7 linked regions of the Ovis aries genome follow. The protein of the gene in region 1 interacts with the protein of each later gene in a pairwise test. Links are inferred from orthologs where the notes say so. Each region holds a gene or a part of one and is shown in the gene's direction. Other genes may lie near its edges.

Evidence for each region.
Region 2: the proteins of MID2 (region 1) and UNC45A interact in binary tests that used the Homo sapiens proteins (3 or more experiments, as listed by UniProt). The two-hybrid records come from large-scale screens. The link is inferred for Ovis aries from reciprocal best matches to the Homo sapiens genes MID2 and UNC45A.
Region 3: the proteins of MID2 (region 1) and PRPF31 interact in binary tests that used the Homo sapiens proteins (3 or more experiments, as listed by UniProt). The two-hybrid records come from large-scale screens. The link is inferred for Ovis aries from reciprocal best matches to the Homo sapiens genes MID2 and PRPF31.
Region 4: the proteins of MID2 (region 1) and GEM interact in binary tests that used the Homo sapiens proteins (3 or more experiments, as listed by UniProt). The link is inferred for Ovis aries from reciprocal best matches to the Homo sapiens genes MID2 and GEM.
Region 5: the proteins of MID2 (region 1) and CCDC42 interact in binary tests that used the Homo sapiens proteins (3 or more experiments, as listed by UniProt). The two-hybrid records come from large-scale screens. The link is inferred for Ovis aries from reciprocal best matches to the Homo sapiens genes MID2 and CCDC42.
Region 6: the proteins of MID2 (region 1) and CEP57L1 interact in binary tests that used the Homo sapiens proteins (3 or more experiments, as listed by UniProt). The two-hybrid records come from large-scale screens. The link is inferred for Ovis aries from reciprocal best matches to the Homo sapiens genes MID2 and CEP57L1.
Region 7: the proteins of MID2 (region 1) and MFAP1 interact in binary tests that used the Homo sapiens proteins (3 or more experiments, as listed by UniProt). The two-hybrid records come from large-scale screens. The link is inferred for Ovis aries from reciprocal best matches to the Homo sapiens genes MID2 and MFAP1.

What each region holds. Positions count from the first base shown.
Region 1 is NC_056080.1:127,335,799-127,339,298, reverse strand, and holds part of MID2 (probable E3 ubiquitin-protein ligase MID2), read left to right. Parts: intron 1-1,130; coding exon 1,131-1,258; intron 1,259-2,356; coding exon 2,357-2,590; intron 2,591-3,500. UniProt on the Homo sapiens protein: E3 ubiquitin ligase that plays a role in microtubule stabilization. Mediates the 'Lys-48'-linked polyubiquitination of LRRK2 to drive its localization to microtubules and its proteasomal degradation in neurons.
Region 2 is NC_056071.1:21,032,091-21,035,590, reverse strand, and holds part of UNC45A (protein unc-45 homolog A), read left to right. Parts: intron 1-227; coding exon 228-399; intron 400-1,373; coding exon 1,374-1,674; intron 1,675-2,877; coding exon 2,878-2,972; intron 2,973-3,206; coding exon 3,207-3,348; intron 3,349-3,500.
Region 3 is NC_056067.1:64,008,904-64,012,403, reverse strand, and holds part of PRPF31 (U4/U6 small nuclear ribonucleoprotein Prp31), read left to right. Parts: intron 1-473; coding exon 474-571; intron 572-1,186; coding exon 1,187-1,293; intron 1,294-1,975; coding exon 1,976-2,145; intron 2,146-3,313; coding exon 3,314-3,471; intron 3,472-3,500. UniProt on the Homo sapiens protein: Involved in pre-mRNA splicing as component of the spliceosome. Required for the assembly of the U4/U5/U6 tri-snRNP complex, one of the building blocks of the spliceosome.
Region 4 is NC_056062.1:82,966,316-82,970,265, forward strand, and holds the start of GEM (GTP-binding protein GEM), read left to right. Parts: upstream 1-1,150; 5' UTR 1,151-2,367; coding exon 2,368-2,403; intron 2,404-2,657; coding exon 2,658-2,997; intron 2,998-3,950. UniProt on the Homo sapiens protein: Could be a regulatory protein, possibly participating in receptor-mediated signal transduction at the plasma membrane. Has guanine nucleotide-binding activity but undetectable intrinsic GTPase activity.
Region 5 is NC_056064.1:28,079,578-28,083,077, reverse strand, and holds part of CCDC42 (coiled-coil domain-containing protein 42), read left to right. Parts: intron 1-250; coding exon 251-472; intron 473-715; coding exon 716-874; intron 875-3,500. UniProt on the Homo sapiens protein: Essential for male fertility. Required for sperm development.
Region 6 is NC_056061.1:28,286,775-28,290,274, reverse strand, and holds part of CEP57L1 (centrosomal protein CEP57L1), read left to right. Parts: intron 1-837; coding exon 838-982; intron 983-3,500. UniProt on the Homo sapiens protein: Centrosomal protein which may be required for microtubule attachment to centrosomes.
Region 7 is NC_056071.1:53,258,122-53,261,621, reverse strand, and holds part of MFAP1 (microfibrillar-associated protein 1), read left to right. Parts: intron 1-289; coding exon 290-398; intron 399-501; coding exon 502-662; intron 663-1,583; coding exon 1,584-1,743; intron 1,744-3,500. UniProt on the Homo sapiens protein: Involved in pre-mRNA splicing as a component of the spliceosome.

The sequences.
Region 1 (3,500 bases):
ACTAGTTCACCATACAAGTTTCCTCTCTGGTCGTCCTACATTCAGTGCCTCTTCTCTCCACTCTAAGGTGCATATTGTTGCCAAGTTAATGTTTCTTTCCATACTGTTATTTGCATGCTCAAGAATTCTCATTGGCTCTGATTCAAGTCAGGCACAGGGCCTAAATATGTATATTTCAATCAAAGCTCAGAGATAATTCTGATGTGGAATAATTTTTGACAATTGTAAAAATATACCTTTAATTTTTTTTTAAAGTAACTGTCTACATGGTTAAGGGTATAGAGTTTAGAATCCAATGAACATGGGTTCAGTTATATTTCTTTTTTTCTGACCCTGGTATGACCTTGAGCAAGTTCCTTAACCTTACTATGTCTCATTTACAAAATGGAAATAACATTTGCTACACAGGGTTATGGAAAGGAGTAACTTAGATAATGTGTGTAAAGTGCATGCCTGGTGTCTTATACATACTGAATGCCTGATAAAAGTGACCTTTGTGGTGGTGTTGTTAGTCATTCAACAATTATTTATTCACTATGTGTCCAACACTGTGTTAGGGACCATGGTATAAAATGCAGATCCTGCTTTTGAGACTCTTACAATTAGTTAGGGAGCTAAAACTAGCATAGCATTATATAACTAGAGAGCAATAAAATTAAATGTAAATGTTATCAAAGATCAAACAAACTATAATATTTAGGGGAAGATTTTAACCAAGCCCTAGCATGCTGGATTGTTGATTAACATTAAAAAAAAAATAGGGGGGGGGGAGAAAAAAATCTCTCAAACTGCTGTCACCAAGCTTTCAGAGGTCTAGTTTTGATGCTGCCTGCCAGATGGAAAATGATGCAGAGGGAAAAAAATCCTGTATTTACTTCTCCAAATTAAGACAGGATGGGGGAGTGTGTTTGAGGAGTGAACATATGTGAATAAATATGGTATAACCCTTAATTGGTTCCTGATGATTAAAATTTAAATGGTTTCCATTGGAAAAGGACAGATATGATATTTTTCATTTTAATCAAGTCCTACCAGTCATTTATCTTCACCTTGTTAAACCAGAAATCAAACATTGGATAAAGGTTGCAAATCTATTTTGATGTATGTTGATGCACTTTTCTCTCTTTCAGGGTCGCTATGGCAACTGCATCTTCTCAAGTTCTGATTCCAGACATCAATTTTAATGATGCCTTTGAAAACTTTGCTTTAGATTTTTCCAGAGAAAAGAAACTGCTGGAGGGGCTAGATTATTTAACAGGTGTGAAAATACTGTGCTTTCCTTTCCATTTTAGTTCTTTTCTTTTGGTAGGCTTTTACTTTAAAATAATCTGAAAAGGACAATATTATAAAGATGCCTTTATAATCTTTAAAATGATACATATATCTTTTTAGATAGAATATATTTTAATTCATGTAACAGAAAATAGAAATGATTTGTCAAATATTTCCAAGGACAGAATGGGTATACACACCATCCCTACTTAAAGGTAAAAAACAAGAAGTTGCTGGTGGTTTTCTCCTTACAAGCCTGTCAGTAATATAACGTCACCTGTTATAAGGGTAGAACTCGGGTAGTAATTAAAGAATATTAGAGAATTTCTCACATGAGTACAGGTACCACCCAAATGCTTGTAAGGAAATTTAAGAATTAGCGGAATAGGAAGAAAAATGTAAGAAATATCTGACTTGCAGAGAGAATTTTAGAAAATGAGGGCAACAACCTGTCTGTTAAAAATACTGACTGCCTTCAGGATGTTTGAATGATCATTTCATGAGGAAATATACACACATAATAGCTTCGTGTTTGTAGCTATCATTGTTACTATATTAAAATAGGTGTCATTGATGGAGCATCTCCTTTAAGCCAGACACTATATATTAATTTTACATCATGATCCTTACAAGGAATCTGTGAGGTAATTATCATCCCCATTTTGCAGATGAGGAAACTCATATTAATTTGCACAACTAATCCCTATTAATACTGCCAAAATATATAATACAACTTATTTTGAAATAAAAAGAAAATAGATTGAAGGCCATATAATAAGGAAACACATGACTACGTAGCTCTTATAGCTACGTATGTGTTAGTGCAGGCCAAGTAGACAATGGGTCTACTGGGTAATTTAGGCTTAGATCTTTGCCTAAAATCCCTATATCATTGAAGCAAAAGTGGTTAGGGGAACTTGAGGTCTCAGCACTTGACTTCAGGTTGTGTGGTACGTGCAATCTAAAGCTTCTTTTCAAGAAAACCTCCTTTCCAGATGTTGGGTTGGTTAGCAAGAGTAACAATTATAAGATGCCAGAACAGAGAGTATGTTTTCCTTACCTTCTTTTCCACCTTTCGTTACAGCCCCCAACCCACCATCTATCCGAGAGGAACTCTGTACTGCCTCCCATGACACCATTACGGTCCACTGGATCTCAGATGATGAGTTCAGCATCAGCTCCTATGAGCTTCAGTACACCATATTCACTGGCCAGGCTAACTTCATCAGTAAGTCATGGTGTAGTTGGGGCCTGTGGCCAGAGATAAGGAAATGTAAGGAAGCAGTAAGCTGCTCAAGATTGGCCGGGGCGCCACGAGGCAAGTGTTTGTAAGACATGTTAGGTTGTTTAGTATAGTGTTGTGTAGACAGTGCAAGCTCCCCCAGCACATTGCAAAGACCTTACTGATGGGTAACAAGCAAGTTGTGTATTTCCTTGCTGGGCAGTCACTGGGGCCACTCCCATTTGTTTATGTAATCCTTAGCCTTTCTTGAGTTAATCCATGTCACTCCACTCTCTGAAATCAGAACACAGCTCAGAATTCGTTCCTGAGTAGTTAAGTCACAATCATTGCTGATTCTATGTGTGTGAACATCTCTCTTCTTGATTGTTCTTCCACTTCATTATCATGGTAAAAAACATTACATTCAAAGACTACCACTTCCTTTACTGTACCCATTTGTATCAGTGAATAGTGACAAGCCTCCTGCCTCTGTCACTCTTCCCTCTATCCCTTCTCCGTTTCCTCCAAAAAATATACCAAATATAAAAATGCATCAGCGAGCCACCAAATAAAAGATGTTCTGAAAGCAGTCATTTAGCTCACATGTTATGGTTTTATCTTCTGATGAATTGGAACAAGACATAGGACCTTAACTCAAGCTGCAAGTTCCCCTCAACCTGCTGGAGAAAATGGAAGTAAAAGCAAAATTATTGGAACCAACTTGCACACTAAGGTTCCATCTGCATAGCTGCAAATTAGTATTTTCTTTTTATCTTGTGTTTGTACTTCTGTGTCTGACTTCACAGACCTGTGTGAGAGGAGTTTTTCTGATGAAACCCTCCTGAAAGGCTTCCTTTTCCCATCTTGTGACAATTTAGGGCCACATGGCGGGGTGGGGAGGTGAGAGGACATTTGGGGTCCAACTCTAAAAGAAACACTTGCCTCGTGCAGCTCCAATCTAAGCCACTTGGCCCTGGTAGCTGCGTTCCTGGGTGTTTGTTCAGGT
Region 2 (3,500 bases), on another chromosome or scaffold:
GCTGTCAGGAACCTCTATGCTCCAGAGCATCTGGCTCCACAGGCAGGGCCAGCCCACAGGCCTTAAGTTCTGAGGTCCTTTGCTGACCCCAGACCTGCCCCCCGGTAGACAGCGACTCCGCCAGCCCAATTCTGTGAGCCTGTCTGTACTTTGTGAGCTCGTGCGAGCGGACACCTCTTCCCTTTGCCCATCGGGGTTGGAGCTGTCTGAATAGGGTGTCTTTTCAGGTCTGAAGAAGATCCTGGAGGTGGGGGGCTCTGTGCAAGACCCTCCTGGGGAGCTCACAGTGACAGCAAACAGCCGCATGAGCGCCTCCATTCTGCTCAGCAAACTCTTCGATGACCTGAAGTGTGATGCCGAGAGGGAGAATTTCCACCGACTCTGTGAAAACTACATCAAGTAAGGGAGCCCTCCTGTAGCCAGGGCTCCTTCGAGAGTGCTGACTATTTGGGGAGAGACAACAGTGAAAGGTTTCCCATCAGAGAAACGGCCTTGGGGAGGACTTGTGAGAGTCAGAATGGTCCCAAGGGCCACTTGTTGTTTCAGAGTCTCTCTGCAGGGACGTTCCTTCTTATTTATACACTACTTAGCATATCAGATCTGTTCCCCGACCAGGGCTCAAACCCATTCCCCCTGCTGTGGAAGCACAGTCTTAATTACTGGACCCCCAGGGAGGTCCCCAAGGATATTCTTTGTTATGTCAGTTCTCATCCAGTGCAGCTGGCTCATAGCTAAAGAATCTGCCTGCCAGTGCAAGAGATGAAAGAGACACGGCTTCAATCCCTGGGTCCGGCAGATCTCCTGGAATAGGGAATGGCAGCCCACTCCAGTATTCTTGTCTGGAGAATCCCATGCACAGCGGAGCCTGGCGGGATACAGTCCATGGGGTCACAAAGAGTTGGACACGACTGAATACGCACAAGCTCAAGCTGTCTTAGTGCAGCTGGTGTCCTCCAGCACGTAGTGTGCACCGAGCACATGCTGTGTGTCCATCTTGACACATCAGTGCTGCTTCACAGTCCTCACCCTTAAGGGCTCACAGCTAGGAGCAGACTGATGGATGACAAGTCACGGGGTGAGTGGCCCAAGTTCGGACCTCAGTGACCACAGGGTGCAGACAGGGTGGCGTGAATGACAGCGACCTGCGTTAGATGGCAGGTCATCGGGGCTGGGGGTGGGGCTCGAATGAGAGCCCGGATGAAGAACCCCGGTGGCTGCTGTCCAGAGGGTTGGTGTCCTGGTCTTCCCGCTGGCAGCTTTTCTTGCTGTTGTTGCCCACATCCTGTAGATGCCTGGCCAGTGGAGGAGGCGGAGGGAAGGGCAGTCTCTCTGTGCTGACTGTGATGTGATAGCTGCCACCCTGTACCCCGCAGGAGCTGGTTTGAGGGCCACGGGCTGGCCGGGAAGCTGCGGGCCATCCAGACAGTGTCCTGCCTCCTGCAGGGCCCATGTGATGCTGGCAACCGGGCCCTGGAGCTGAACGGCGTCATGGAGAGCGTGATCGCCCTGTGCGCCTCGGAGCAGGAGGAGGAGCAGCTGGTGGCCGTGGAGGCCCTGATCCATGCAGCCGGCAAGGCCAAGCGAGCCTCGTTCATCACAGCCAATGGCGTCTCGCTGCTGAAAGACCTGTACAAGCGCAGCGAGAAGGACAGCATCCGCATCCGGGCACTGGTGGTGAGATGGGCAGGCTTGGGCTGAGCCAGCAGGCAGCCAGACAGGGGGCCCCAGCTGGCCCGTCTCAGAGTGCAGCCTCAGCACACGCTTGGTGAAAATGGAGGATGTGCAGGGCCTTGTTGAAGGGCCTCCCTGATCGCTCAAGACAGTAAAAAATCTGCCTGCAATGTGGGAGATCTGGGTTCTATCCCTGGGTTGAGAAGGTCCCATGGAGAAGGGAATGGCAACCCACTCTAGTATTCTTGCTTGGAGAATCCCATGGACAGAGGAGCCTGGCAGGCTATAGTCCATGGAGTCGCAAAGAGTTGGACATGACTGAGCGACTTTCACTTTCAGGGCCTTGTCAAGGCCGGAGCAGGGCCCTGGCTCCTCCTGGGGAGGAGGAGGAGGAGGAGAGGCTTGGACAGAGAGGACTTCTAAGAATGCGGGGCAGCCTGGGCTGCCCACTGTGGGCGGTGGGAGTGGCTCTGGGAGGAGTTGGAGGACACACTAGGCCAGGCAGGCCTGGGGTCTGTGTGAACAGGCTGGGCTGCCAGGCAGGCCCCAGAGCCGGTGGTCTAGGGAACACCTGACCCCTGTGCGCCTGTTGCAGCCCTGCCCCTGGAGGAAGCCGATCCTCCTCTTCGGGGCACCTTGTCCTGGGTTTCTCCCTCCCATGGGGGTCCTGGCCTTGGCTGAGGCGCCTGTCTTCTCCCCACACGTATCTTAGGTCTGCCCGTCAAGGGCTCCCTTGGCGTGAGGTGGGAAGGGACAGAGCAAGTCCGGTGCACGTCGGGCAGTGGGGTGGAGGCCAGGCCAGCATGTGGTCAGCATGTCAGTCTCTCCCAGATGCTATCACACGGCCACCCTAGCAGCTGGTTTTGTGGGCTTCCCAGGTGGCACTAGTGGTAAAGAATCCGCCTGCCAGTGCAGGAGACGTAAGATACGTGGGTTCAGTCCCTGGGTTGGGAAGATCCCCTGGAGGAGAGCGTGGCAACCCACTCCAGTATTCTTGCTTGGAGAATCCCATGGATGGAGGAGCCTGGCAGGCTGCAGTCCATAGGGTCGCAAAGGGTCGGACACGACTGAAGCAACTTAGCACAGCCCAGCTGGTAGCCTGGTGGGGGTGTGCCTGGCCCCCAGGGAGCCTGGCAGAGAGCTGGCAGGGAGCCCTGCCATGCCTCCGTCCCTTGGCCAACAGCTGGTTCTCACCCTCTCTTGCAGGGGCTCTGTAAGCTTGGCTCAGCCGGAGGGACCGACTTTAGCATGAAGCAGTTTGCCGAAGGCTCCACTCTCAAGCTGGCCAAGCAGTGTCGAAAGTGAGTGGTTTAGCATGGCTGTGGCTCTCTGCCTGCTGGCCAGACCTCAAGAGAAGAGGGGAATCCTCACTGCCCTGTCCTCCCCAGGCAGACCCTCCACATGAACTGCTTCCGTATGTGGTGGGGATGCCCAAGCCGCTGGCTTTATCCCCCTGGTTCCTGGGGCACCCCTCCGACCACCCCCCGCCACCCCCTGCCCATTCTGGTAGTCATCAGTGCCCTGCACGCCCCCAGGTGGCTGTGCAATGACCAGATGGACGTGGGCACGCGGCGCTGGGCAGTGGAGGGCCTGGCCTACCTCACCTTTGATGCTGACGTGAAGGAGGAGTTTGTGGAGGATGCAGCTGCTCTGAAGGCTCTGTTCCAGCTCAGCAAGGTAGCCCCTGGGTTCCTGCAGTGGTCCAGGGACGCTGACTAGGATTAGAGCCCGAAGGGCTTTCTTGGCAGGTTGTGGCCAGCAGCGTTTGTGACACAGGGCTGGTAGCCCGAGTGACTGCCCTGCGTGGCCTGGGTGTTCTGGGTGACCAC
Region 3 (3,500 bases), on another chromosome or scaffold:
GCCCTGCCCCGAAGCCCCTGCATTAGCTCAGACGTAGGTTCAGCTACTGAACAGAAGGGTGACGTGACAAGGAAGTGTATTTTCCTCCCGTGGGAAAGTCTGGATGAGGAGCCCAGGCTGTCTGTGTCTCACTGATTTGTCGCCTGTTTCATGGTACAAAGTGACTGCCCACCTCCAGCCATCACCTCCACATCCCCATCAGCAAAAACAATCAGGAGAGAGGAGGAGGGCACATTTTTTCACTTAAAAGAGTGACCTGGAAGTTGCCTGTGTGACTTGCCCTCACGCCTTATGGACCAGAACTGATCCACACAGCCACACCCTGCAGTAGGGGCAGCCTTTGTGCTGTGTGTCTGTGAGCCCGGCTGCCACAAGGGGCTCCCTCACTGCAGGACGAAGGGCAGATGGGTGCTGGGGGAGCCAGCGGTGTCTGCCTGCCCCTCATCGGGCTCCTGCCCGCCCTGTGCCCCCAGACATCATCCATAAGTTCATCCGGGATAAGTACTCAAAGCGATTCCCCGAGCTGGAGTCCCTGGTCCCCAACGCCCTGGACTACATCCGCACCGTCAAGGTGAGCACAGAGGATGGGCCCCCAGCCACCACGCCTGTTGAGAGCACCCTGCTCTTGGACCCTCCAGGGGGTCACTCAGCTCTGGGCCAGAGGCAGGATGGGAACAGGGAGCAGAGATTGGGGGAAGCCAAGACCCCGAGGTGGCAACAGGCCCTGGAGCGTTCAGGGAGAGGGAGGAGGCGAGTGTAAGAGGTCATCAGGTCAATCTGGCCTCCGAGGCTCCGGGTCTGAGGGGCAGGCCCCACGGGAGGGGCAGGCCCCACGGGAGGGGCAGGCACGTGAAGGCGGGACACCACCCAGCACCCAGGCTCCTGGAGAGTCGAGCAGATGGGGGTGGGGAGGAGACGCGGTCAGACCTGCACCGCGAGTGGACGCGGGCTGCAGGCCTGTGGGGGCAGCCCGTCCTCTGCAGGTGGACCGTCTGCTTCTGGGCAAGCCCCCTCCCGGGGCAGACTGCGGATGCTTTGAGCCTCGGGCTTGTAGGAACTGGGGGCAGACGGGGCGGCCGCTGTCCCTGCAGGAGAGGTTCTAGACCCTCCTGAGTCCCCGGGCCTCCGCCTCATCCCCCTCATGCCCCTCATCCCCCTCATCCCCCTCATGCCCCCCCTCCCGCAGGAGCTGGGCAACAGCCTGGACAAATGCAAGAACAACGAGAACCTGCAGCAGATCCTGACCAACGCCACCATCATGGTCGTCAGCGTCACCGCCTCCACCACCCAGGGGTGCGTGCCCGGCGGGCCCAGCCGGCGGCCGTCGGTCGTGGGGCCCCGCGGCACGGGCGTAGTGTCAGGAGGACGGGTTGCTGCGCTGCCACGTGTTCGCCGAGCACCTCCTGCAGGCCAGGCTCTGGGCCCCGGGTCCCCGGCGTTGGGAAGCCAGCCTCCTCCCAGAGCCTGTGGTCCTCAGGGGTGCAGCGGAGGGCAGGCCTGTAATTAGAAGTGGCGTCCCCTAAGGAGGGGCACACGGGGTCTCCCCCTGCCCCTCAACGTCTGTGGTGGGCCTGCGAGAAGGGCAGAGGCGTGTCACCCCACAGCAGGGCTCTGACTGGACAAGCCGTGAATGGGCAGGGTCGACGGCAGCTGGTGGGAGCAGCTGGATGGCGGCCTCGCTGGTTGGCAAGGCCGAGACCTGCAAGGTCTGGGGAGCTGGGGGGAGCGTTTCAGAAAGATGGAACACCTGCAAAGAGCCCGGCTGCAGGCCGGGCAGAGAAGGGAAAGCGGCGAGGACGCGCCACCACGGGCAGCGGGCTGGCGGAGCTAGTAATCGTCCCGAAGGTGCACGCGCACGCAGGCGCACATGGCGGGGAGGTTGGGGCCCCTCACCACTCAGGACCCGCGGCAGCACGGGTCGTTCAGTCCGCCCCCGCCGTGCCCCGCCCCAGCTGTGTCCCCACCCTGCCTGCAGACAGCAGCTGTCGGAGGAGGAGCTGGAGCGGCTGGAGGAGGCCTGCGACATGGCGCTGGAGCTGAACGCCTCCAAGCACCGCATCTACGAGTACGTGGAGTCGCGGATGTCCTTCATCGCCCCCAACCTCTCCATCATCATCGGGGCCTCCACCGCCGCCAAGATCATGGGTGAGGCCCGGCCCCGCGCCCGTGGCTTCGCGGAGGCCTGTCCCTTTCCTGTGAATCGGGGCGTGTTCTGCACGTCCTGGGGCCCAGCACGCGGCCCCCATACCCACCTGCTCGTCTGTCCGGAGATCGCGGACCAGCGTGGCGGCCGGCAGAGCTGGGGCCCGGCAGCTGCAGGGGCGGCGGGGCGTGGCCGGTGGGGAGGCCGGGGACCCGGGGCCGCCTGGTGATGGGTCAGCTCTCTGCGCCCCAGGGTTCCCCGCAAGATGGGGGCGCTCGTCCTGGCAGCGTGATGGGGAAGAGTGAGTCCCTTCCTCCTCGGGGCGCGCCCCGCCACCTCCCCCAGGCACCTGGTCCCTTCAGCCGAGGAACGCTTGCGGGCACGTGTGTGATAGACCAGCGAGCGAGTCAGTCACCGCAGGCGCGGCTTCGAGGGCGAGATCCGTCCTCGGGATAGGGCGGCACTGGGCGTCGGGGGCGGGGTGCCTCTGCGGCCTCTCCGCAGGGGGGTGGCCCCTGCCCGCGGGTCCTCTCCTGGTCATCCCGGGTCCCGGTCTCCCCTCCCATCGGGGCACCTGTTCTCCTGGTTGGGGGTCCAGCCTGGGGGCGTCGTCTCACCTGGCTCACCCCTGCAAAGGCCCTGTCTCCAGATTCTAAGATGGTGGGGGCTTAGGACTTCAGCGAGTGAATCTGTGGGGAACACAGTTCTGCCCGTGAGGCAGGGGTGTGCAGGGTTGCAGGAAGGATGAACTCCTGCTTCTCCCACTCCCCGCCACCTCTGACCTCACGTCTTTGGGCAAACCGTGTCACGCGCCTTGGTTTCCACCCTGGAGACCAGGAGGGTGTTGCCCGCACCCGCAGACACGCTCTTGGAACCCAGAGGTGGCTCACACCCGGGCCGCTGGTGTGGTGACCAACCCCTGAAGCACAGGCAGGCCCACGTGGCTTCCCAGACGAGGGGTCAGGTTTCTCGTGGGCCAGGGGCTCACTGTGCAGCCTCCGGCACGTCCCTTTGCCTCTCGGAGCCCCTCTGAATCCCCCCCGAGATGGGACATGTTGACGCTCCCTGGCGGGCCCCCCTCAGGCCTGCGGCTGGAAACTCCTGTGAAGGGGCAGCGCTCGGCGGACCACCCCCCGCCACCTCGCTGATGTCTGCCCCCTCCTGCTGCAGGGGTGGCTGGCGGCCTGACCAACCTCTCCAAGATGCCTGCCTGCAACATCATGCTGCTTGGGGCGCAGCGCAAGACCCTGTCGGGCTTCTCGTCCACCTCGGTGCTGCCCCACACCGGCTACATCTACCACAGCGACATCGTGCAGTCCCTGCCCCCAGTGAGTGCCCCCCGGGTCCCCGGGTCACT
Region 4 (3,950 bases), on another chromosome or scaffold:
AGTGTCTGGGAAATGCCCGTGGCCTGCCAAAGAGGTCACTGAATCCCTCCAGCTGGGGGCACAGTGCAAAGAGCCAGGCAAGCGGAGCTTCAAGTCCTGATGCTGCCACATACATGAGCTGCGTGACCTTGGGCAAGCTCTCTGACTTTGGGGGTCATTTTCCTCCTCCATATAATGGGAGCAGCAGTATCTTCACCTTGCAGAATTGTAGTAAAGTTTGAGATACTGCAGAGGTCTAACAGTACCTACTAAATATAGGAACTCAGAGACACTCAGTAAATGATAGAAGTGACTGTTTCTGTTATCTTGTGCCCTTTTTTCACAGGCATCATTCTTGGGACTGGAACCCAGGCTAAGGCTCCTCGCATGGCCAGAGGCCCTGGCCCCACGGCCAGGACCGGCCATGCCAGGGAGCCTGGTACAGGAGATGCTACTAGTCGGGATGCTGATTAAATTCCCTGATCCAGGAGCCTCAGCGTCCTGGTCCAGGGCAGGAGGGCTAGCCACATTGAGCACAGTCTGCTTGGATCCCTACTTAAGCTATTTTTTCAAGACCTTTTCAAGGTCTTGCCCCCTTGCCCCACCTTCCTCTGGCCCCTTTTCTCTGGGTCCCGGTCAGAGAAGGGAGACAAGCAGTGTGGGTATCCCCTCCTTCCCTCATTCACCGGGAAGGCGACAGGAGCGGGCAGAGGCCGTTTTCCTTGCAGAAGATGCGGCTGACACAAGCCCCGAACACTTCCATGGGGCTGTAGCCCCCTGTTTTGTTTTGTTTTTGTTTTTTCTTTTGGCGAAACTGGGTTTCCAATCCCAACCTGCCTCTTCCTCCATCCTTCATCCGGACAGCTCGCGAACTGTTTTGCTGGAAAGTGCAATTAAGGGGCACTTCGTGTTTTGTCTGCCCCCTTCCAGCGTCCGCCTGGTCAAAAGAACAAACCAGAATAAAGGAAGCCGGGATTCAACTGTCGTTATTTTTTTTTAAAAGGGGAGAGAGGCGGGGGTCACATGACGGCGAGTCACCGATTTGGCGAAGGGGCTGCCCCTCGGGGCTTGCTGCAGAGCCGCCCGGCCCCCAAACCCCGGGCGGGGGCGCTGACGTCACGGCAGAGCCCGGGCCGCGCGCGTATAAACCGCGGGGCGCGGGCGCGGGCGCACCCGGCGCAGTCACCCCGCGATCGGCCGCCCGCATCGCGGCGCGCGTCCGCTCTCAGCCGCACCCCCGGTAAGGCGAGCAGCCCGCGGCGGGGAGCGGGGTCCTCCGGAGAGGCGCGGGGGGCAGGACTGGGGGAAGGGGTGGGCGTCCGCAGCCCGCGGAGAACTTTCCAAGTGGGGAAAAGAACCTTCCGGACCTGCTGTCCGGCGCGGTGGTCTTTCGATCGGGGGTCGGGGGGGTGAGGGGTGTTGCAGAGTTTAAGGGGCGAAGGATGCCATTCGGCGGTGGCGGGTTGCTTTCGTGCAGTTCAGTTGGAGGGTCATCTCCTCCTCCAGACTGTGGTCGGAGGACAGCCGTCAGGGATACTTCAGGCACTGGTTGTTTGAAGAGTCGGCCTACCGGAGGCGCTGCTTGTAAGATTAAAAAAAAACAAACCTACAAACCGATCGGTCATCAGGGTCATCGAGGTGAGGGTCGCGGCTAGGGTCATCGACGTGTTGGGGTTCTGGGGAGTGCGTGCGGGAAGGGGAGGGTCTCTCGCTCACCGGTGCATCTTGCTGCTGAAAATGAGATTGCTTCTGCTTTCTGTCTGAGAGTCTGGGAGTCCAGACCACCGGGCAAGGGGAGGCAGTCTTGAGAAAGGCCAAGCTGTAGCCACGTTGTTGAATGTCTTTCTGGAGGGAGTCTTGGACCTGATTGGCTTCAGGAAGGTGGAAATCCGAGCTGATGGAAAGGAACTCTTGGAGTGGACAGAGTTTAAAAAGAGTGAAGCACTGTCTCTGCAAGTTTGACAGCTCTGAACGTGAGCAGGTCCTCTCCCTGCCAGAAGGACAAGGCAGAGGGATGGGTTAAATGTGATATCTGTGGGCAGGGGGCAGAAGTGAGGCATATACCTATTGCAGAAATTCTTCTCCCCCTCAAATAAGAGCATATTCAGGCATCAGGGCAACTTTACTAAACATGGAAGTTCCAATCAGCCCTGGTCCAATCCAGCCGGGGGGGATGATGTCATTGTCACGTGTTCCCCACTGAGGCATAAAAGCCTGCTGGGTGCTGCTGCTACTTAAGTGCCATGTTTAGACATCAGCGGCTAACCTGGCCAGCTGGTCCCCAGCTGCATTAACTTGTTGCTTTTCAAGCCTTCTCTAGAGGCTCTTCGTGCCTTCTGGCTGCCTCTGTGCCCGCTCTGAGTGGGGAATCCCCAGGCTTCCTTGAGGATGGAGGAAGCCCCAGGGCAGTGGGCGATATTAACGGTACCTTTTCCTCTTTGCAAATGACAGTCTCCCTGAGGAGCTGCTGTGTGTGTGTGTGTGTGTGTGTGTGTGTGTGTGTGTGTGTGTGTGTGTGTTCAGTTGAAAGCCTGTTGGGTTTGGGGACTGCTTCACTGGTGTTCCTTGTGTGAGGGTTACTTGGTAACCTCACATACTAAAATATCACTGATGACTGTGTTCGAGCTCCCTGAACTCATGCTTCCTGATGCTACCATCTTGGCTGCTTTGCCTTCCAGGACCTGACGATGACTCTGAACCATGTCACCATGCGCCAGGGCACGGCGGGCGTGCAGCCGCAGCAGCAGCGCTGGAGCATCCCTGCCGATGGCAGGCATCTCATGGTCCAGAAGGAGCCCCCGCAGTACGGCCAGCGCAGCCGTCCCCCCACCGCCCCCGAGGACCCCTGCCGCCGGAGCTGGTCCTCCGACTCCACGGACTCAGTCATCTCCTCCGAGTCCGGGAACACCTACTACCGGGTGGTTCTCATCGGGGAGCAGGGGGTGGGCAAGTCCACTCTGGCCAACATCTTTGCGGGTGTCCATGACAGCATGGACAGCGACTGCGAAGTGCTTGGAGGTAGGTGGCCCGGCTCCGGAGGGCTTTACGGGACAGCAGTGGTCCAGCAGGAAGAGTGAGTGGGTGGGTCATTTGTCTGCAGAGTTGGGAAGTGCGATTATGCCTTCTTGGCTCTGCCTGGGGAGCCGAGTCCCCACAGACGTGCTGGCATAGGCCTCTGGGACAAGAAAGTGAAAATGCTTATAGATAGAAGCTGGGCCAGAGAAGGAATTTCTTACATTCCAGCTCTAAAGGGACCAGGGAGACGGTTTACGGAGGGTGGAGCCGGAGGGTCAGGATCCCACCTCTGGCTTTTGCCAGTTCTGACCTGGACCTTTCAAGCACTCAGTGTAGAGACAGCCTTTTTCCATGGTGATACTTAAAACCAAGCCAATTAGAAAACTGTTAAGATGAATTCATTAGTTTGTTCATTGCAGTATTAGAGGCTTTAGAGGGTATAAAATTGTTTAAAATCTCTATTTTCAATAGCACAATATTTAAAAAAGATATTGAAAGTTAGCAATGATGATACTTAACGTTTGTAAGTATACTTACGGTTTTTCAATTTTCCATGGATAATCTCATTTAAGGTATTTATTATTTAGGCCTTGGTTTCCAAAACTGATCTGAGATGATACAGTCTCAAAAAAATCACATATTCCTCAAGTAAAGCATAGCACTGTATTCTGGGAAGTAAAATGAGGCTCCTGTAGTCGATGGTTTAAATTCAGTGTCTTTCAGCCACAGGATCTTAGACAATGCCAGGGTCACTGTATGTCCCTGTTTGCAGTTGTGGAAATGAAGTAAGTGTGCTTGTCCCAGTGACATGGTCTGTCTGAACGCTCAGTTGCAACTCACTGCTGAATCACAGATTTCAGGAGTAGGAAGATGCTTTAGTGATGACACAGTTCTGCCCTCTGCTTGATGCACAGAAATCCTACTCCTTCCTCACTGCTGTCAGCCCATTTCTACTA
Region 5 (3,500 bases), on another chromosome or scaffold:
GACCCACGCCACGTGACCCACGGCCCGTACCAACTCGGGGTGGGGGTGGGCGCAGCGGAGACTCCGAGGGCTTTACAGCCTCTGGCCCTTGACTTAGCCCAGGGCCTCCCTGCCAGGCAGAGGCGCAGGGGGAGCTGGGGGCACAGAGTGGGGTCGGCGCCCCCCCGGGCGGAGGTGCACTGACCTGAGCCACCAAACCCCCCCCAACTACCCCTCCCGCGCCGCCCCCCCTCCCCCGGCCCTCGTGCAGTTTGAGGAGATCCACGAGGTGATCGCGCGCTACAAGACACTGGTGAGCATGCACCACGACCTCATGCAGTCGGCACAGGAAGGCCAGGAGAAGATTGAGCGTGCCAAGGCGCGGCTGGCACGCTACAAAGAGGAGAAGGACGACGAGATCCTGCAGCACAACAACGAGCTGGCGCGTCTGCAGATGCGCTTTGACCGTGCCCGCAGTGACGTCATCATCTGGGTGAGTGCAGGGCGGGTGGGGGCCACACAGACACACACAGACACAGGCAGCTGCGGAAGGGATACACACACACACACCTCAGCACTCACCGGTAAGGGACACACACACCAGCACACACACCCCTCAGCACTCACCGGTAAGGGACACACACCAGGACACACACACAAACACGGGTAAGGGATGCACACAACACATACACACCCACCCTTAGCACTCACACCCTGCCCTCATTCCCCTCCCCAGGAATCTCGCTGGGCGCACATTCAGAACACCGCTGCCAAGAAGACCCTCTTGCTTGGCACCATTAAGATGGCAACGCTGAACCTCTTCCAGATCGTGAGCAAACAGCTGAAGGAGGCGACCTTCGTGTCTCTGGAGGACACGCACAAACAGCTGGACATGGTACGAGGAGCCCAAGTGCCTGGCAGGCAGGCTGGAAGTCGCCTTGATGGTTCTCCGTGAGTTGAGGGGAGGCGCGAAGGCTAAAAGCAGTGGTTCTCAAGTTTTCAGAGTCGCCTGGGGACTCGAGCTTGTTGCTAGACCCAGCCCCACAGTGTTGGACTCGGGAGATCTGAAATGAGAAACCATGAATTTTCATTTTCCGCAAATTTCCGGGTGATAGTGCTGGTCTGGGTTCCACATTTAGAGAACCATTGCATTAGTGCTAAGGTTCTGTTGGCCCCATCAACAGGTCAGTAGAGGAACCCATTACTGAATTCATTAGCTGCTGCACAAGTCTTATAAAGTTCTCATGAGATGCTGAAGGCCTGTGACGGGCCCATCCTTGGGGAAAAGAGAACATCTACAGGGGCGGGAATCAGCAAGGGGCCGACAGTGTCAGTCTTGTTAGTACCATTCTGCGATTTTTCTCTTTGAATTGAAAGGAAACTGAAAAGGAGTTAACGTTCTCACTGTGTATGATACAAAGCTGTCTGATGCCACGTCTGCGTGCCCCCTGGAATAATCTCACTTCTGACCAAAGGAAAGCCGCATCCCTTAACTCGGGAAACTCAGCACCATGCTTTTTGTGACATGCGGAGAACCATGACTAATTATTTATCCTTTTGGCATATCCTTTTAGCCTTTAGCTCAGCTGTGAAACAGTGGAAAGTAGGCTCCTAACGGCTGGAATTCCTGTTTGCTTTGTTCTCTGTTGTATCCCCAGCCTCTAGAACTATGCCAGGCAGATAGTAGGCACTCAGTAAGTATTCAGTGAATGAATATGAAACACAAGCCAATGAAAGCAATTGACTGAGGAGTGCTTCGTCTGTTTGTTTTGTTTGTTTGTTTTTAAAGAGAAAAGATGGGAATTCCCTGGGGGTCCAGTTGTTAGGAATCTGCACTTCCACTGCAGGGGGCCCATGTTCTGTCCCTGAACAGGGAACTAAGATCCTGCAAGCCTCACAGCACAGCCGGAAAAAAAGAACCAAAAAAACCCCAGCAACCTGAAATTCATGAAATGTAAAGAATTTCACCCACTGACCAGCAGAATTTCCTTAAACCAAAGAATCAGCCTGCATCGTAAGGCATGTTAGAACTGAATTATTCATATTAACAGTCCAAAGACTGTAAAGGGAGTTTGTAAGAAAGTTTGTTGTGAAACAGCGATCCTCAAGCTTTTTTTGGTAGCAGGTTACCTTTACACTCGTAAAATTTGTTGAAGACCCCCAAAGAGCTTTTGTTTATATGGGTTATATCAGTTGATATTTACCTTATGAGAAACTCAAGCAGAAAAACTAAAACTATTTAATTCATTTAAAATGACAGTAAGAAACATGTTAACACAAATAGCATATTTAAGAAGTAGATTTATTCATTTATTTATGGCTGCCTTGGGTCTTAGTTGCGGCGTGTGGAATCTTTCTTCTTGGCGTGAGGGCTGCAGAGTGCCTGGGCTCTGTAGTTGAGGCACGCAGGTTTGGCTGCCCCACTTTGCATGAGGGATCTTTGTTCCCTGATTAGGGATCAAATTCACGGTCCCTGCACTGGAACGTGGATTCTTAATCACTGGACCACCAGGAAAGTCCCATAAATAGCATTTTTAATGAAAAATACATTTTCAAAAAGTATTTTGTGGGATGGGTGGCATTTCGACACTTTGCAAATCCCTAAAATGCTGCTTCCTGGAGGACAGGTATTCTCACACCTGCTTCTGTATCCAGTCTGTCACGATAGCCTCTGTGATGGGAACATCCTACTTGGGTAAAAGTCCACGTAGAGTCACCAGAGAAAAGACAAGTAGCAGAAGTAACAAAAGACAGGTGACACCTTAGCGTTATTGTAGAAAGAGTTTTGGCCTTGCAGGCCCCTCTTCCTTGCTGTAGGGTCTCAGGACTCAAGGCGTCCTCAGGCCCCTCCCCTTTAGCTGTTGTAAAGAGAGATGGGGCAGGAGGTGGTGATCTCCAGCCCATGGCCCCTGCCTAAGCACCCCCTGTTCGGACAGTAGCTTACAGTCCATCCACTCCACATTCTGAGCTTTCAGACTCCCTCGAACATTTGTTGTCCTTCCCCCAACCCCCCACCCGGGCATGCTGCATGGCCTTTGGGATCTTAATTTCGCAACCAAGGATCAAACCTGGGATCAAACCTGGGCTCAAACCTGGGCCCCAACCTGGGCCCCAGTCAGTGAAAGCACCAAGTCCTAAGCTCTGGACCACCAGGGAATTCTGTTCTCAACCTTGACTTGCCTCCACAGGAATTCCTCATATGCCCAAATGTTATTTTTAAATATCCCACTTGATTTCTTAGGATATGAGCCTACTGACACATATACGTGATTAAGTAGCCTGAAAAATGGAAAACAAAGACCTAGGAAAATATTGTAATAAGTTGAAACTTTATATAAGGTAAATATATAAATAGTATTATAAATCATACATGTTACATTTATAGTAAATATAAGTTAAAATCTAAGGTCAAGGCAAGAGAGAGATGTATGGACTCTCTCGGTTCTTGCCTTATAAAGGACAGTAGTTCGACAGGAACACAAGTTGGCTCTGAGATGCCTCGTAACCAGAGGAAAAGCAAC
Region 6 (3,500 bases), on another chromosome or scaffold:
CAAGATCTGAACTGATAGACAAATATTTCTGTCATTCTAACAAATGGCATCTGGTGACCTTAAATTATAATTCACAAATGCTTTTCCAAGATAGATTCTCCTTCTGCTTTTTATAATCTTTTCAGCTAAGTGAATTATTTCATTAGACAAATAAGAATGCAATTTCTTATTTTCCATTCTGGCCGGTCTGCATTGCATGTTTGAAGCATCCATATGCTTCAAAGATTCTGTATGGGATACATATTTTAAGTTTCAAGTTTAAATAGCTTTTCAAAAAATATTCCTGAAAATATGTGACTTGGGTGGCCAACTAGTTGAACTATGACCTCTGTAGAAGATATAACTAGTTCTATTAGCAGTAGTTTTTTTGAGCAGGCATTCACCAAATCTAGGAATTTCTCAGGCAAATACTTCTATAGCTGGAATTCTTCCAAAGATTCTACATTAAGAATTCCAAACTTGGAATGAAAAAGAGTCCCTTAATGCCTCTAGCTAAGGACATCAGAATATTTTACTACATTTAACTATGAACACTAAGAATTCAGACATTTTTTAAGATTCTTTGAGAGCCTAAGTCTGAGAGATTTCTAAATATATCTAATCTCAAATCATAAGAGCCTGTTTATAATTACCGTAGATTTAATTTGATAACTCTACAAAAAGAAGCTGTCTTTGAAGGTTAATATTTAACTCTGGTTAAAATTTATGATTGAGCAGAGTATTGTTTAATTGTGACAAAGATTAATATATAGTTTATATATATATATTTTATATATATATATATAGTTTGTATACTATTAACTGTAATAGTGCTTGATACTTGCTTTTCTTTCATAGGGAGTACCAGGACCTGCTGAATCAAATGAAAGAAACTGAAAGCCAATCAGTCTGTGAAGATATAGAATGTGAACTAGAGCGTTTAGTCAAGAAAATGGAAATTAAAGGAGAACAAATTTCCAAACTAATGCAGCATCAAGATAGCGTAAGAAAGTTTTAGTAAAAAATTTTAATAAAAAGATAATATATCTGGATTCAATATTACGTTTCTCTAGACCTTCCAAAATTGAGGCCTGTATGTGTGGCTTAGTGAAAAGATGATAGATAGGAATCACAGACTTATCATAAAATAGAGTCATCTGTACATTGAAATAACATAGTCTGCTACATAATTCTCAACATAATATAAAGAAAAGGGAACAAAGAAATTTAGTTATAGGGAATTCTCTGGCTGTCCAATGGTTAGAGCTCTATGCTTTCATTGCTGGGGCCCAGGTTCAGTCCTTGGCTGGAGAGCTAAGATCCTACAAGCCACACGGCACAGCCAAAGGGAGAAAAAAAAAGAGAAAGTTTAGTTATGTATTCAGAAGTAACTTTGGGAAAATTAAGAGGTAGGCTAAATACTGGAGTGGGTTGCCATGCCCTTCTCCAGGGGATCTTCCTGGCAAAGGGATTGAACCTGCAGTCTCTTACATCTCCTGCATGGGCAGGCAGGTTCTTTACCACTAGCGCCACTTGGCAGCACCCTACGGTGCCCCACAGACCCAGGTTGCTCAGTCAGTGTCTGCAAAATGCAGCTGCTTTGTTGACCATAGCTAAAAATTAGGAGGACCTAAATTTTCAGGGATCTGATTTTTTTTAAGTAAATTACATATATATATGTATGTATGTATGTATGTGTGTGTGTATATATATATATATATATATATATATGTATGTATGTATGTGTATATATATACACACACACACACACGTATATATTGGAGAAGGCAATGGCACCCCACTCCAGTACCCCTGCCTGGAAAATCCCATGGACGGTGGAGCCTGGTAGGCTGCGGTCCATGGGGTCGTTGAGGGTTGGACACGACTGAGCAACTTCACTTTCACTTTTCACTTTCATGCATTGGAGAAGGAAATGGCACCCCACTCCAGTACTCCTGCCTGGAGAATCCCAGGGACGGGGGAGCCTGGTGGGCTGCCGTCTATGGGGTCACACAGAGTTGGACACGACTGAAGTGACTTAGCACTAAATTTGCTTTACAGCTCTCCCAGCTATCCATTTAGCATTCTTTCCTCTTATCCCTCTCTTTCCTAATGTCTTACTGAAACCCCTTATGTCATCAGGTGTCTAAAGCAACCCCATCTCTAAAACCACCATTTCCAGTTTCTCAGAACAAGCCATGCTGTGTTCCATTCCTTGGGGACCTATGCTTATCTCACTCTAGTGGAGGTGATGAGGAGGACTCGATCCTTGTGTATAAATTCATAATAACTATGAATGGCATAACAGTCTTAATATTTTGACAAAAAAAATTATGGAATATTACATTTTATCCCAAGACAATGAATTCACTCTTAGGACTATTATGTTCCTGGAACAGAAAGCAGAGGGAATCTTTCCAGGAACCTTCAGGTCATATCATGTAGCTATTATGGAATAATCAGCATTCATATAAGTTGGTAATATATTAATCTCACAATTAAGCCTTCCCCACTTTTATAGGAAAGTAATAAAGAATGCAAAATTTTACTGCCTTTATTCTTCTGTGGCCAATAAAGAAAGAGTAGGAAATGAAATTTTGAAGCAAACATTTTCACTTAACTGGCTTTTAAACCTATAGTAAGTAAACTTTCTGTATGATTGTGTTAGGGTGAAAATTATGTAACTTGTATACTTTCTTAGAATCACATAGGAGAAACCTGAAAGGAGTAGAAGAGTAGTCATATTTTTTAAATTTAGGCAGTATGTACATAAATTATATTTTGAAAAAAATATGTATATAATTTATATATTATATATATATAATAGCTATAGAAGTAAAAATTTTTAATAATTTTTAGGTAAACAGAACACCAGATACTTAGCCAATGTCTGGACCAGCTCTACAAATCAGGCTATGTTTAAGTGAAATAGATGAAGTAATGTGGAGAATTCCCTGGTGGTCCATTGGTTAGGATTCCACACTTCCTCAGTAGGGTACATGGGTTCCGTCCATGACTGGGGAATTGAGATCCCACAAGCCATGTAATGTGGCCGAAATAAATATTTTTTTAAAGATTCAGTAATGGACTAGACTTGGAAGAAAAGGGTTTAACTAGTTTATAGATTTTGTTTTGTTTAATTCCGTCAACCCAATCATTGCTAGAAACTCCTCAATGAGATAAGGTTATTTATTCCTTTGCCTTTAAAAACAAGACAAAACTGGCATTCAGTAGTACTTTAAATTCAGGAATACTTTAAAGAAAAAATATAGACTCTATAAACTTGATATTCACTCCTAGCACCAAATTTTTGCTTTGTTGTTAATGTCACCAGAAAGGTCCCTCTCTCTCCTCCATGTTCTGATTTTTCCCATTTCTTATCTTACAAAAACAAACATTTCTTTCTCTCAGCTTCTCCAGCCCACATCAATCTTGTCCTTCTTTATCCTTCTTAGACATACACTTTTTGTCCTACTCAAAGTTATTCTGGCTTGAATTATTCTCTAGTTGTCACATATATG
Region 7 (3,500 bases), on another chromosome or scaffold:
CAAGGTCTTATATTATTTTAAATACAAAATCAAACTTAAGAGCAAATTCCTATTCCTTTCCTAATGGCTAGAAATCCTACAGTCCAGCAGGTTTCTTGATATTCAGGCAGTTCAAAGATGATGGAATTTTGATGTTCTAAAGACCGGAAATGATTCCCACTTTTAGCTCTTTGCAAATAACAGAGCCAGAGACCATTTGGCTTTGTCTGGTTTGAATGAGACTTGATTTAGGGAACAAGGAGCACTACTCTCAGGACTTTGGGCAATTAACAGGACCTCTGTGCTGCAGGAAGGACCGGGTGACAGTTCAAGAACGTGAGGCTGAAGCATTGAAACAGAAGGAGCTGGAGCAGGAGGCCAAACACATGGCTGAGGAGAGACGCAAGTACACACTCAAGGTGCTGGGCGTGGCTGTGAGGATTGAGTGTGAGGAGTTGTGTGTTTCGGTCTGTCTGAGGGAGAATGAGGAAGTCCAACAGTTGAATTGTTCTCCCTATCCAGATTGTAGAGGAGGAAACCAAGAAAGAGCTGGAGGAGAACAAGCGGTCTCTGGCTGCCCTGGATGCACTCAATACTGATGATGAAAATGATGAGGAGGAATATGAGGCCTGGAAAGTTCGGGAGTTAAAGAGAATCAAGAGGGACAGAGAAGACAGAGAAGCGTGAGTAATGGGATGAGCTTAGAGCTTAATACCACTGGGTGGTCATATTCCTAGTAGGGTAGCTCTTAGGCTCTGCACCTACTGTGGGTTCCATTCTAGCTTTCTTTAGGGTTCCTAGAGCTAGGTGTGTTCCCCGTGAGTGGAATGTGGCTTATTATAACAGAATCAGGGAAGAGAAACACATTTTGTCAGTGTTTCTCCGTGATAAGAGTGCAGGTGATACTCCCTTTAGTAGTTTCCTAGTTGACACAAACTGGTTACTTGCTGTAATCAGTTTTCTGTTGTTGCGTAACAACCCAACCCAAAAGTAAGTGACTTAAAACAATTATTTATTTCTCACAATTTTGGAGGTTGCTCTGCAGTTCCTCTACCACACTCAGTTAGACCAAAATCATCTTGGAGCTGTACCACCCATTCCTAAAAACTACTAGGGATGCCTTTTTTTTTTTTTTTTTTTTTTTTGAAGAAAAGGGACCTATGACTCTCCACCCCTAAAAAAGGTTGAAACTGCTGCAGTCTAGTTAATGATGGTGACCCTTGGTTTGTGGTATGTAAGCACATTATTTAAAAAATACCAGTCAAGTCTTATACAGAATTAAATTGATTTTTTTTAAACAAAGAAGGCTCTTCAGGGAAGGGAAATTCGTAATGTTATAAAAATCAAGCAGTAGTAGTATGTCTGAACCTCAAAAAAACTAGAATCAACTTTCAGAAGTTTGCAGTACCTGGTCTTGTGAGTGTAATGAAGACTACCTGACCTTTTTATTTATTAAACTTCTGATCTTAATTCCTAACAGATAGTAACTAGAATCTGTGAAGATAAATAATGCTTGAAAGGAGGTGGGACTGTGTCATATTCAGATAACTGGGTCTTTATGAAACTAAAATGAAACTAATAAATAGTTTTCATTCTCTGAACAGACTTGAGAAGGAGAAAGCAGAAATTGAACGAATGAGAAACCTAACTGAGGAAGAGAGGCGAGCTGAGCTTCGGGCAAATGGCAAAGTCATTACCAACAAAGCTGTTAAGGGCAAATATAAGTTCCTACAGAAGTATTATCACCGGGGTGCCTTCTTCATGGTAAGAAGTGAAAAGAGACTGGAATAACCTCCCATTTTCCTAGTCCTGGAATGTTACTTCTACTTACCAATGGTCAGCTTTCTCATTTGCTTTTTCCCTCTGAAGAATATAAAACCAAATAGAGGAAAGCATTCAGAGAAGGTGATGGCACCCCACTCCAGTACTCTGGCCTGGAAAATCCCATGGACGGAGGAGCCTGGTGGGCTGCAGTCCATGGGGTCGCTAAGAGTAGGACATGACTGAGCAACTTCACTTTCACTTTTCACTTTCATGCATTGGAGAAGGAAATGGCAACCCATTCCAGTGTTCTTGCCTGAGAATCCCAGAGACGGGGGAGCTTGGTGGGCTGCCATCTATAGAGTTGCACAGAGTCAGACACAACTGAAGTGACTTAGCAGCAGCAGCAGAGGAAAGCATTGGCAACAGGATTTCAGAAATGGCAGCAACTGTTCCCTTTTGGCCTCAGCTCTCAGGAGGAAATGATGTAACAGCAGAATTGAGGAACTGAAAGAGAGAGTGATCTATACTAGACTAGACTATTTAGGTCCCTCAAATCACTTAGATATAATTTTTCATAGCTGAGAGATTTTGTTTATGAGAAAACCAAGCTCTGCAAAGAGCTTTACATTAACTCATGTTTGGCTGATTTAAGTTTAATTCACTTCCTTCTCAGCGGACAGAAAGTGACTAAATCTGACCCAAAAGATGTTAATTATCTAACCATTATTTGTAATGCCATGATCTTTGTTCTTTATATAAAAACCAAAGTCAAAACAGCTGTCTGTTAACCCTGTATAAAATGAAAAGGACTGCTTCCAAATTATTTGGATTAGCACTAGTGATAATTCCTTAATAGAGAGACAGCAGGAAAGGAAATGGGAGAATTGATGACATTTATTACTCCAATGATATGTGGTATGTTAAATTATTTCCTGATATTAAAGAAGTTTGTATCAAAAAGTAATCTAGCTTTTTCAGATGCTGTTTAGCAAACCTTAAGTATCTCCACTGCAGGTAAATTCCTGCCTTTTGCTGTTTAGTTTAGTGAAGTCGCTCAGTCGTGTCTGACTCTTTGCGACCCCATGGACTGTAGCCTACCAGGCTCCTCTGTCCATGGGATTTTCCAGGCAATAGTACTGGAGTGGATTGCCATTTCCTTCTCCAGAGGATCTTACCAACCCAGGGATCGAACCCAGGTCTCCCACATTGTAGAGAGACGCTTTACCGTCTGAGCCACCAGGGAAGTAGATACCAGTAAAATTTTAAAACTTTAAAAAAATTTTTAAATAAGGATTCCTTATTCTTCTCCCACCAAAATCAGTCTATCTAATCAGCAGGAAATATTTGCTTATTATGTTGTTTTCCAGCCCATGTAGCTTTCTAGATAGGAGTCAATGGAGATTATTAATTACTTCTTAGATTGCTTCAAAGTCATAAAATATCATTGCTTTAGCATTTCAAGTTTTAATAATCAAGCTCCTTAGAAAACCAGTGCATTCCTAAGATACATAAGGAAAGGTTCATGTGAAAGTCTTTTGGTGCAATACTGAAATATCAACTCTTCTCATTGGACAAGGAGGGTGAAGTGGAAATGGCTTTGAGATTAAATGAGGTACTTTCAGGCTCTAACAAGGAGAAAAGTTGGGTCTCATGAAAGGCCTACCTTTAAATTGGGCCTTTCAAGAGCTGATGGGAAGAGTGTATCCCAAAACTGTTATTTAGCTCTTCCGTGAAACTTTCCTTAAGATGGTGCTGTT